Linked DNA regions of Neurospora crassa OR74A. The protein of the gene in region 3 interacts with the protein of the main gene of each other region in a pairwise test. Links are inferred from orthologs where the notes say so. Each region holds a gene or a part of one and is shown on either strand. Other genes may lie near its edges.

What was found.
Region 1: the proteins of NCU04119 (region 3) and NCU05959 interact in binary tests that used the Saccharomyces cerevisiae proteins (3 or more experiments, as listed by UniProt). The link is inferred for Neurospora crassa OR74A from reciprocal best matches to the Saccharomyces cerevisiae genes TLG2 and VTI1.
Region 2: the proteins of NCU04119 (region 3) and NCU01199 interact in binary tests that used the Saccharomyces cerevisiae proteins (3 or more experiments, as listed by UniProt). The link is inferred for Neurospora crassa OR74A from reciprocal best matches to the Saccharomyces cerevisiae genes TLG2 and TLG1.

What each region holds. Positions count from the first base shown.
Region 1 is NC_026506.1:3,311,283-3,314,835, reverse strand, and holds NCU05959 (vesicle transport V-SNARE protein VTI1), read left to right. Parts: upstream 1-1,333; 5' UTR 1,334-1,650; coding exon 1,651-2,050; intron 2,051-2,126; coding exon 2,127-2,325; intron 2,326-2,401; coding exon 2,402-2,489; 3' UTR 2,490-2,899; downstream 2,900-3,553. UniProt on the Saccharomyces cerevisiae protein: t-SNARE found in various SNARE complexes involved in multiple transport pathways. The composition of the t-SNARE complexes is specific for a limited number of v-SNAREs and therefore allows only the vesicles carrying the matching v-SNARE to fuse.
Region 2 is NC_026505.1:3,218,380-3,221,576, reverse strand, and holds NCU01199 (SNARE domain-containing protein), read left to right. Parts: upstream 1-1,311; 5' UTR 1,312-1,526; coding exon 1,527-1,573; intron 1,574-1,663; coding exon 1,664-2,396; 3' UTR 2,397-2,692; downstream 2,693-3,197. Other genes in the region: NCU01200 (peptidyl-prolyl cis-trans isomerase B), read right to left, coding at 1-98, 168-294, 356-680; gle-1 protein, read right to left, coding at 3,005-3,197.
Region 3 is NC_026505.1:4,908,289-4,912,031, reverse strand, and holds NCU04119 (SNARE complex subunit), read left to right. Parts: upstream 1-1,197; 5' UTR 1,198-1,527; coding exon 1,528-1,550; intron 1,551-1,618; coding exon 1,619-2,190; intron 2,191-2,264; coding exon 2,265-2,758; 3' UTR 2,759-3,149; downstream 3,150-3,743. Other genes in the region: cmd (calmodulin A), read right to left, coding at 1-69, 251-266, 380-436, 589-591; NCU04118 (aspartokinase), read right to left, coding at 3,518-3,615, 3,700-3,743. UniProt on the Saccharomyces cerevisiae protein: t-SNARE that functions in transport from the endosome to the late Golgi and on the endocytic pathway.

The DNA.
Region 1 (3,553 bases), on a different chromosome or scaffold from region 3:
ACGGCGGAAGCGCACGGCAGATCCTGCTAGATCCTGGTAAAGGTAAGCGGGCAGGGGACTGGCCAAGCCCTGAGCTAGCCTGGCCAAATTAAAAAAGATGGGGCCAATTCGGTGCCGATGGTGGATGACGGTGGACGCCGGCAACGGTGAGTCGCTGAAATCGGCCGCCGATGTGTCAAAACCGTCGGACGTTGGCGTGGGCTTTTTCCTTCGGCGGCGGCGGCGGCGGTACGTAACTCGATCCTGGTGAATGTCGCCAACACTCTCCACTAGCCAAGCGATGATGTATTCCAGCGAATCCTATGGCGTGCCGAGAGTGGATCAGCCTGACAAACCTTCGAATGAAGAACCTCGCAGCGAATTCTCGAATTGTGACCGGGGTCGCTGATTTGTCCGTTGGTGATGGATGTTTTGTGGTGGAGGTTTAGTCAGACGGGTCGGTATCGCTGGGCTGAAGCCTGGTGTTGCTGGACGACGAGCAACAGAGAGAGTGTATGAGTGCGTGTATGTGTGTAAGTAAGTGTGTGCCACGAGGCCGGACCAGATGGCCATGAGCAGTCCTGGTGTTTTGATGTCGGCGACGAAATCCGAATGTCATAGCTGACATATATATGATTTAACAGAAGGTGCAAATCTCGTGGCAATGTCGAGCAGCTACCTACTATTTGCGCCGCAAAACAACATTGCCGACCAATCCGACCCGACTGCCAGGAGAACATTTTCCCAAAGCATCGGTGGCGACAGACTACAAACCCAAAAAAGACTTGGAAAATTCAAGACACCAACCAGAAACAAAAGGCTGGCAATGTGTCCATTTTCTGGGGAAACCAGCCAAGGTTCGCGTCAAGCAGCCGTGACAGTGTCTAGGCAGTGTACACTATATTATCTTAGCATGTCTTGGGACGTGGCCGTTGACTGGACCTTCTAAGCGATATGTCCCCCAAAACAGTTCCCTTCCCTAGGTCGTCATCGGTCTCAATTCGTTGCTGGCTGGTGAAAGGTCAACTCAGTCATACAAAGAAACCAATTGAAGAGTTTCAAGACGCCAAAGTCCCCGGCAGTCCCAGGCGGGGTTGATACGTTCAACTGGACACGGTCCGTGTAAGTTACACTTTGCAAACAATACATACAGCGCTTGCGTACACGTACTGCAACAACACTGCAATACATGCGGCAACGCCAAGCATGTGTACGTCACCCGCCTAGGCTGCAACTGTAACCACTGTAACTGTATGTAACAAGCGGAATGTCATGTGCCCATGCTGGTCCGTGCCCACAGCTGCTGTCGTCTCCCGCCTGCGGCCTGCCTGCCTTTCAGTTCGCTTGTCAGGCTGCTGAGACGACCGCAACGACTAACGGGGCTCGAAGCACACTGGTGTCGCTGGCGACAGACAACATTCGACGACGACCACTACTCCTTGCGATCAGACCAACCACACGCCAGCCCAACCACATCTCGTCCAACGCGACCGCATCAACGACGCCCCTCTTTGGCATGATTAATGACGAATCTGAATAATTGAGAATAACGATACCCGCCGATAAACGAGCATCACCCCGATACGGCCAGCCCGACGACAGCACCCCCACACCTGCCCCGAACCCCAACCTCCACATCCGATAGCAACACATAACTCCATTGAATCCAAGATGGCCAACATTCTCGACAGCGAAGCCGGCACAGAGCTCTTCAAGCATTATGAGACGGAATACCAGCTGGTCCAGGCCGACCTGGTCCAGAAGCTCGACCAAATCTCGGAGCTGACGGGCGAGCCCAGGAAAGCCGCCCTCAGCACGGCCGAGCGCGCCCTGGAGGAGGCCGGCGAGCTGCTGGACCAGATGAACATGGAGAAGCAGAACGTGCCCAGCTCGTCGCGGACCGCCATCAACAAGCGACTGCGCGACTACCGAAGCGACGTGGACAAGTATCGTCGCAAGCTGCAGACGCTGGCGACGGACCGCAGCGCCCTGTTCGGCGGCAGATACACCGATAACCCGGGCTCTTCGAGTGGCGATAGGCATTTTGAGCAGAGGCAGCAGCTGCTATCTGGTGGGTGGTGGACAGAAGCACCTTATACATGGCAAGAAGAAACGGAATGCTGACTATTTCCCCCGAAACGTAAAAGGCACCGACCGGCTCGATCGGAGCACACAACGCCTCAAGGCCAGTCAGGCGCTGGCCGCCGAGACAGAGGCTATTGGCGCCAGCACCCTGGCCGACCTGCACCGCCAACGCGAAGTCATTGAGCACACCACCACGATACTATACGAGAGTGAAGGCTATGTGGACCGAAGTGTCAAGACACTAAAGGGCATGGCACGCAGGTACCACCCTCCCCTTTTGTCCCAATGCGAATCATGATGATTAGGTAATACTGACCACTTGCGCCTTTACCATTAGGATGGCTACGAATCGGATAATCACCATTGCGATCATCACCGTGCTGGTCCTCCTTATCATTGCGGTTATCGTTAGCAAGTTCAGGTGATTGTGTCGAGAGAGCTGAGCGAATCCATAAAGAAGCAATACAACATCAGGTAGAACAGGCAGGGGTGTTCAGTGACATCACGATATATACGAACAGGTGGTGGATGGTTTGGACTGTACCGATGGAGCGTTTGTTATAACAGAGACATGTTCCAGTTCCATGTTTTTCGTATCGTAGGGATGGTATCGTACGGGGGGTTGTATTTTTACACAGACGGCGTCACAAAGGGAGGTGGTTTCGAAATTTAGACGTATTTCTTTCTCATGACCATACGGCGGCCTTGCTTCCATGGACGTTCCGACATCCGACAGGGGAAAACGGCTCGCCATGTCCACCACAACTCGCCGCCACATGGGTAGCGGATCGTTCTCTATGATTTCAAATGATTCTCCTCTGAGACATAGTATCCCTGACTTTGGTCGGTGTTGACCGGGGCCTTGGTTAAAACAAATTTTCTGTTGGCCACTGTTGTTTGAATGATTTGCGTTCACCACACCTCTGCTGGGATGTGACTTGGTAGCTTGGTAGTTCTACAAGAAACAGAGAGCGAGCCTTCGACAAAGTCGCTATTTCTTGTGCCCAAATTAAGCTTCTTTGCCACCCTGAAGAACCGTGGTGTACTGTGTATATCCCAGCAAGAACTGTGTCTTGGTAACTCATGTACACTACAGGCCTATTACAAATGAGTAGACTAAGAAATTTTCCATGTGATGGAAACACGCATCACTGCAAATCACGTCAAGTCATCTTCTTCGAGATACTTTCGTTGTTGTTAACATTTGCATATAACCCCACTTTCACAGATACGCAGTACATAACGGACCCTCAGACCTTCCACAGCTCCAGTTGAACTTTAGGCGGTGAAAAAAAAGAAGTCCACCGGACTGATGTTCCGCAGCTCAAGCTGCAGCTGGATGGAGATCGCCGGTCTCTCCCCGGCAGCCTTCCACTCGTCTCCATTTTCACCTGCAATTCTTCACTTCAAGATGGAGTCACAAGACAGAAACACCAAAACCGCTTACGGAGCGGACTTGACTTTTGGCGAGGGGAGTTCCTTAGGTATG
Region 2 (3,197 bases), about 1.7 Mb from region 3:
GAGCATCGCGAGGACCGGTCTTGGTGTTCTCAATCTTCTCGACGACATCGTAGCCCTCGAGGACCTCGCCGAAGACGACGTGCTTGCCATCGAGCCAACTGCGACAAAATGTGTATTAGCCAACCGGGCACTTCCTAGACCATGCGGCTCGAGTGTATTCGACTTACGAGGTGATGACAGTGGTAATGAAGAACTGGGAGCCGTTGGTATCCTTGCCAGCGTTGGCCATTGAGAGGAGACCCTTCTTGGAGTGCTTGAGCTTGAAGTTCTCATCGGGGAACTTGTCACCATAGACTGTACACAAGCGGTCAATGATATGGACCAAAGTGCATAACGGAACTTGGAAGCAACATACTGGACTTGCCACCGGTGCCATCGCCCTTGGTGAAGTCACCACCCTGGATCATGAACTGCTTGATAACACGGTGGAAGGTAGAGCCCTCATAACCGAAGCCCTTCTCGCCAGTGGCAAGAGCGCGGAAGTTTTCAGCGGTCTTGGGGACGGTCTTGCCATAGAGACCCATAACGATGCGGCCGAGGGGCTTGTCGCCCTGCTCAATGTCGAAGTAGACCTTGTGGGTGATCTTGGGGCCCTTGGCTGCCTCGGCGGACTGCGCAAAGAGCAGCATCGCGCCGAGGAACAGCGTGGCGGCGAGGAGGAGTCGCCGCAAGCTGAACATCTTGACGGTTCACGATAGTTTTTGGGTTGAGATGGAAAAAGACAATGACCTGACCCAAGTCAAAGAATTGGTGGAAAAGAAGATGGAAGAGGAGGAGGAGGAAAGAGAGAAGGAAAAGGACAGTTGATGAGACACTATGATTCTCTTCGGTTACAGTGGTCCCCGGCTCCGTTGAAGCTACGTTTCACCTACCAAATCGGGCGAGCTGCCCTCCAGGCACTGCCCGTCCCCGCGACTGGGGAACCTGGAACCAGTGCACTGACAACCGGACCGACAGCGCGCGTCGTCCAACCAGTTCTTTAGATCAAGGGCCTCGCATTTTCCCCTCAAAACAACAGGGGCAGCAGTCAAGGTGTTCAGACAAGACGGGGATTGATGGAATCGTTGGGGTTCGTTCACAGCGACTGCGCGATTGCCCTGAGACGAGGGAGCGGGAGCTGCACCGCTGCAGAAGCGGGGCAGCCGAAGAGGTCCATGGGATGGATGTCTCACGCCAAGCCGACGGCGGGTCCAGAACCACATGTACTTTCTAGACTCACCCTCAGCCACAAAGGGGGGTGTCAATCTGGAGCGCCGCGCTTGTATGCATAGCGCCGCTACTACAGTACCTCGAGGCAGTTGTCGAGATCGTGAACCCTGCCGGCCGCAACGTCATTATACTTTGGTCTTTATTTTAATCAAACACAATAGATCACTGCATATACCACCACTTCCTCAATCTCTTTACCTCTATGCAGTGAATCTCCACTTCCTTCAACTTGGGACTAATAAGGCCGGCGCATGTCGATTGATGCGACCGACAACTGATGCCGCAGCTTTACTCCTCCTCGTCTTCGCAGTAGCGCGATGATGTCCTCCACGAACGAGGAGGACCCCTTCCTTGAGGTCCAACAGTATGCTCTGACCATCTCCCCCTTTTTTTCCCAACTCACAAACCACAATCAACCCAAAACATTGACAGCTAACCAAAACTTCAAACACAGGGACGTCCTAACCCAACTCCAATCCACCCGCTCCCTCTTCACCTCCTACCTACGCATCCGCTCCCTCTTCACCTCTTCCTCCTCCTCTTCCACCGACTCTCCTGAGCTGATCGCGGCCCGCTCCGACCTCGAATCCGCCCTCTCCTCCCTCGCCGAAGACCTCGCCGACCTCGTCGAGTCCGTCAAGGCCATCGAGCGCGACCCCACGCAATATGGCCTGTCGGCGCACGAAGTCACGCGGCGCAAGCGCCTTGTGCAAGATGTCGGGTCCGAGGTAGAGAACATGCGGCAGGAGCTCGCATCCAAATCCGCCGTCTCTGGAAAGGGTACCCAGCAAAAGGACCAATTACCAGACCCATCATCTTTCGCCATCCCGGACGGTGAAAACGGTGCCGCTGGCGCCACCGGCGAAGACGACGATTACGCAGCCGAATTCGAGCACCAGCAGCAGATACAGATGATGCGCGAGCAGGATCAGCATTTGGATGGGGTATTCCAGACGGTCGGCGTGCTGAGGCGGCAGGCGGACGACATGGGCCGTGAGTTGGAGGAGCAGAGGGAGATGCTGGAGGTGGCGGACGATTTGGCGGACCGCGTGGGAGGGAGGTTGCAGACGGGGATGCAGAAGTTGACATATGTGATGAGGCACAACGAGGACACGCTGAGCAGTTGTTGCATTGCGGTCTTGATCTTCGTATTGATTTTGTTGTTGGTTTTATTGCTCATTTTGTAAGCTGGGAGCTGGACGGCAGGATTGGGGCTGTGTTTTGGCTGACTAGACTAGGCGGGCTGTTTTCTTTTTGGGTTCTGCCGGTTAAGAGGAGTTCTGAAGGGGTGTCTATGATGTTTGGCTCTCCTGTTACTTATTTTGCTTTACCGCCTACAGCATTATGATGGACGGTCATACGGTAATACAATAATGACCTACTGGATCACTGCAGCCACGAGTTGTTGCCGCCATGGTCCAGGTGAAAACGGGCATCGGTCAGCAACATTGAGTTTGGAGCCATACAAAGGCTCAGTTCTGCACCCTTTACAGGGCTTTCTTTCTCTGAGTGCTGATGTGGTAGGTTTTTGTTTCTGTATGCCCACTACGAGCTTCGCCGCCTTGATTGTAGATACGCTGGGTATATAACAGAAAGCGCCAAATACGCTGGGAAGCCCGGCCTTTCAGTTTCTTCTGATAGAACACTAACTTTTCGTAACCGGCACATGGCAGACGTTATCCTTCCAAGATGCTGAAAACCTCAAATGACCAAATCCTGAACGCCGTTGATATGACTTTTCTTTCTGACACACAACACACCAACCCCATTCCTCTGACACACACGACCACTTTATTTATCCAAGAGCAGCTCCAGTACTCTTCCTGAGCAGATCATGGACAACCTGCAACGAGTTCACGGCACTCGACTTGACCGGTGCCCGAGCAGGGAACTCTACGAGCGCGGTCCTCAACGCCGCAAGGGCAGCGGTTCCATATGCATGGATAAACTTCTCCTCGTAGTTCTGGATCATAGCTTTCAGAACCACG
Region 3 (3,743 bases):
GCTCAGACTCGGAGGGGTTCTGGCCCAACGAGCGCATGACGGTACCGAGCTCCTTGGTGGTGATTTGGCCTAGCTGCTGTTCAGTATGCGTGCATTACGGTAGGGCTCGTATTCACATCGCAACTCGGTTCAGGGGCGGGCGGTGAGAAGCGTTGGGTGCGTCGCAACTACTATGATCCAAGGCGCTTGCCGCTAACTTGGTGGTGGATGAATTCGGATATCTGGGGGGGTAGGGTTTCGGAAGACTAACCATCACCGTCCTTGTCCTGTGTCACGTTGTGTCGGGTCAGTCATCAGGCTCGCACGATTTGCGCCAAACGGCGACACAGGGGATTGAGCATAGGCGACAAGGAAGCTCGGCGCAAGAAAAACAACTTACAAAAAGGGAGAAGGCCTCCTTGAACTCAGAGACCTGCTCTTCAGTAAGGGAGTCCGCCTGTTGTTGATAGCCTTGTCAGTCACCCGTCTCCTTTCCAGCCATCATCGTATGTTCGCAGCCCGGCCGCAGCCCCTCGAGCTAACCCGCGGGGTTCTTGTTGCGCTCAAACAGATTCGACCGGGAGGCACCGAGATAAGGAATGAGCATACCATCTTGATATAGTATTAAGGGGTGGATAGAGGGTCTGGGGAGAGCGAGCGTGTGAGATAGTTGGATGTGTTCGAAGGAGGATTTCGAAGGTGTTCTGGTTTGGAAGTGGTAGATATGGAGGTCCCCCAGTAGAAACGAACGAGACCCGTTGGCTACCTACCAGGTAGGTCCAAGTCCCCGTTCTCCTAGTTCGACGTTCCTTAAATGAGCAGCTGGGCCGCCGATTGCGAAGCATGGAGTGGAGGGAGGCGGGGCGGGGTCCCTCCCTACCTAACTGTAACACACTCGCTAAAATGAGACTAAAACTAAAGATGCCCTGGAGCCCATCCCGGCGTCTCGCAGGTGCTGCAACCTACCTGGAACCTCTGCATGGGATACATCACCACTGGAGGTGTAGGTCGTCAGCCCCAGCCCAGGACAGACGGGCCAGACTGTTAACAGGCTGAAAGCTCCCGTCCCCCAGGCTGCCAGCTGACCGACTCTTTGAGACACTGACAAAGGCTACCCCTTATTGGCGGGCCCCAAGTGCCTGACAGGTGACATGCATCCCATGTTATTCATGCCCCCCATCCCTGGAACTGGCCAGCATTGTGTTTCTGAACCGCCGCGTCAGCGTCATTGTCAGTGGTAGCAGCTGCCCAGTGCTACTGGCCCTGTTGCTGTTATTACATAGGTAGGTAGGTAGTGAAAGAGAGAGGCCTAGAAACATTTCCCCCCGGGAAGATCGACCAGGGACGGAGACATTGGCAACTCAACCTCGACCACATACACAGCCGTGTCCATGCGATGCGATGTGATGCCATACCCATTCCAATCCGCCTCTGGACCGCCATTACCACTAACTACCATCAATTGACTCTCACCTCTGACCGAGACGACGACTAGCCTTCGGCGTGCAACCGAGGTGAAGGGAGCCTTTCGCCCTTCCGGCGTCCGCCATGTGGCGCGACCGCACTAATCTGTACGGGGAACTCTCTTGAACCCCCCGGAGATGAGAGTCGTTCGTTAACATCCATGTGACTATCACAGCTATATCTCGTACCGGCAGTCCTACGCCCACCACCCGACCCAGCGCAACCGATATGCCCCTCAGAACCCAGGCGACCGCTTCGGCGGGACTTCCGGCGGGGCTGGCAGCAGCACGGGGGTCCTCTTCTCTGCCGACGATGACCGGCGCGGCCTCTTATCCGCGGGGGCCTACGATGTCGACGACGGCGATGCGGTGATCGAGATGGACCTGCTTCCGCCTCGGTGGGCGGATTCGTCGGACGAAGTGGCGGAGCTGCTGGCCGACATCGCCCGCAAGAGCCAGAAGCTGGAGCGGTTGCATCAGAAGCACGTACTGCCGGGGTTTGACGACGACGAGGCTAAGAGGGACCAGGAACGTGAGATAGAGCAGCTTACGCAGTCCATCACCAAGGGGTTCCACGACTGCCACCGCGTCATCCAGCGCATCGAGCAGATGGTGCGCGAGGGCAAACACAATGGCCAGATGAGTCGCGCCGACGAGGTCATGGCCAAGAACATACAAATCAACCTGGCCACGAGAGTCCAGGAGGCCAGCGCCAATTTTCGAAAAAAGCAGAGCGCATATCTAAAGAGTGAGCCCCCCTACTTTCCTTACCACTCGACTCTGACTTTAAACAGTCATGCTGACATCACACTCCCTGTTCAGAGCTAAGAGGCATGAGCGGCCTTGCCAGTCCAACCCTCGACCGAGTCTCAGCCACCTCTTCTTTCCTGGGCCCCAGCGGCCTCCCGCCCGGCAACAGCTCCAACAGCGCCTCCATTCTCGAATCCGACGCCGACCGGGTCTTCTCCCAGTCGACCCTACAAGCGTCAACGCACCAGAAGCTGCTTCACAGCAACGACCAGGCGATCTCTCAGCGTGAGCGCGAAATCGACGAAATCGCTCAGGGCATCATCGACCTGTCCGATCTGTTCCGGGATCTTCAGACCATGGTCATCGACCAGGGTACGATGCTGGATCGGATCGATTACAACGTGGAGCGGATGGCGACGGACGTGAAGGAGGCGGCCAAGGAGTTGACGGTTGCGTCCGGGTACCAGAAGAAGACAACCAAGAGGAAGATTATACTTCTGTTGTTGATTTTGATAGCGGGTATGATTATTTTGCTGGTTATCAAGCCGAAGAAACATGGAGGTTGAAGAGAGTGGGGAGAGACATAAAAGGGACGAACTTCAAGATGTTATGTGTGGGACAATCGAGTTGATGGGCGGACGGGTAACCGAAACCACTACACGGTACAGCGAAAGGGGTGAGTGAGCCGAAGAAAGAGGGAATTTAAGAAAGTAGTAATGTAATAAAAATGGGGAGAGAACATCAAGAAAGGATTCCGGGAAACCGGTTTGTATGACAACTATACAGATGTCAACAATCGGGGGTATGAGAACCGAGGTATGAGGACCACGGCCCCTTTATCTCAAATAGGTTTGTTATAGTTTCATGTTGTGACCCTGTTTGCATTGTGTGTAATGGCCATGCTTGGGAAAAACAAAAAGTAAACAGTTTCACGCTTGATCAAATCTACTTTTTAAGACAAGGCTCCGGTACTTCCAAGTCCGTTGGATGATCATCCTGTGTAAATTTTGTCTATGGCGCTGTATTAACCCTTTTCGTTAACCTCCCTGCCATGCTCTATATAAATGCCCATGTAAATAAAACAAAGTAAATCTTCGCTATGTGTTGCCTAGATGGTATACAGGTTCCATCCGACAACCGCTCGTCTATTCAACTTCTTCTTCTTCTTTCTTCACTCCTCCCCCGTGGGTTCAAACCCGTCTTCTCTTCTCTTTCTCTCGGACCGTCTAACTCTCTCACGTCTAACTCACCGCAAAAATAAGGACAGAGACGTCTAAACCGACACAAAGTCCACTCTGTTACACCCTCAGCAGTAGGCTGCCCCTTTACTCCAGGAAGGTGAACAAGTTGGTATGCAAGATATTCATAGCCCGCTCGGCGTCTCTGGCGTCGATAACACACGAGATGTTGATCTCGCTGGCACCTATTCACCCACAATGATTAGCCATCCATATACTCTCACACACACAAACACAAACACACAAACAGGATCAAGAACCCAACTTACCCTGAGAAATCATCTCAATATTGATTCTGTGATCACCCAACGTC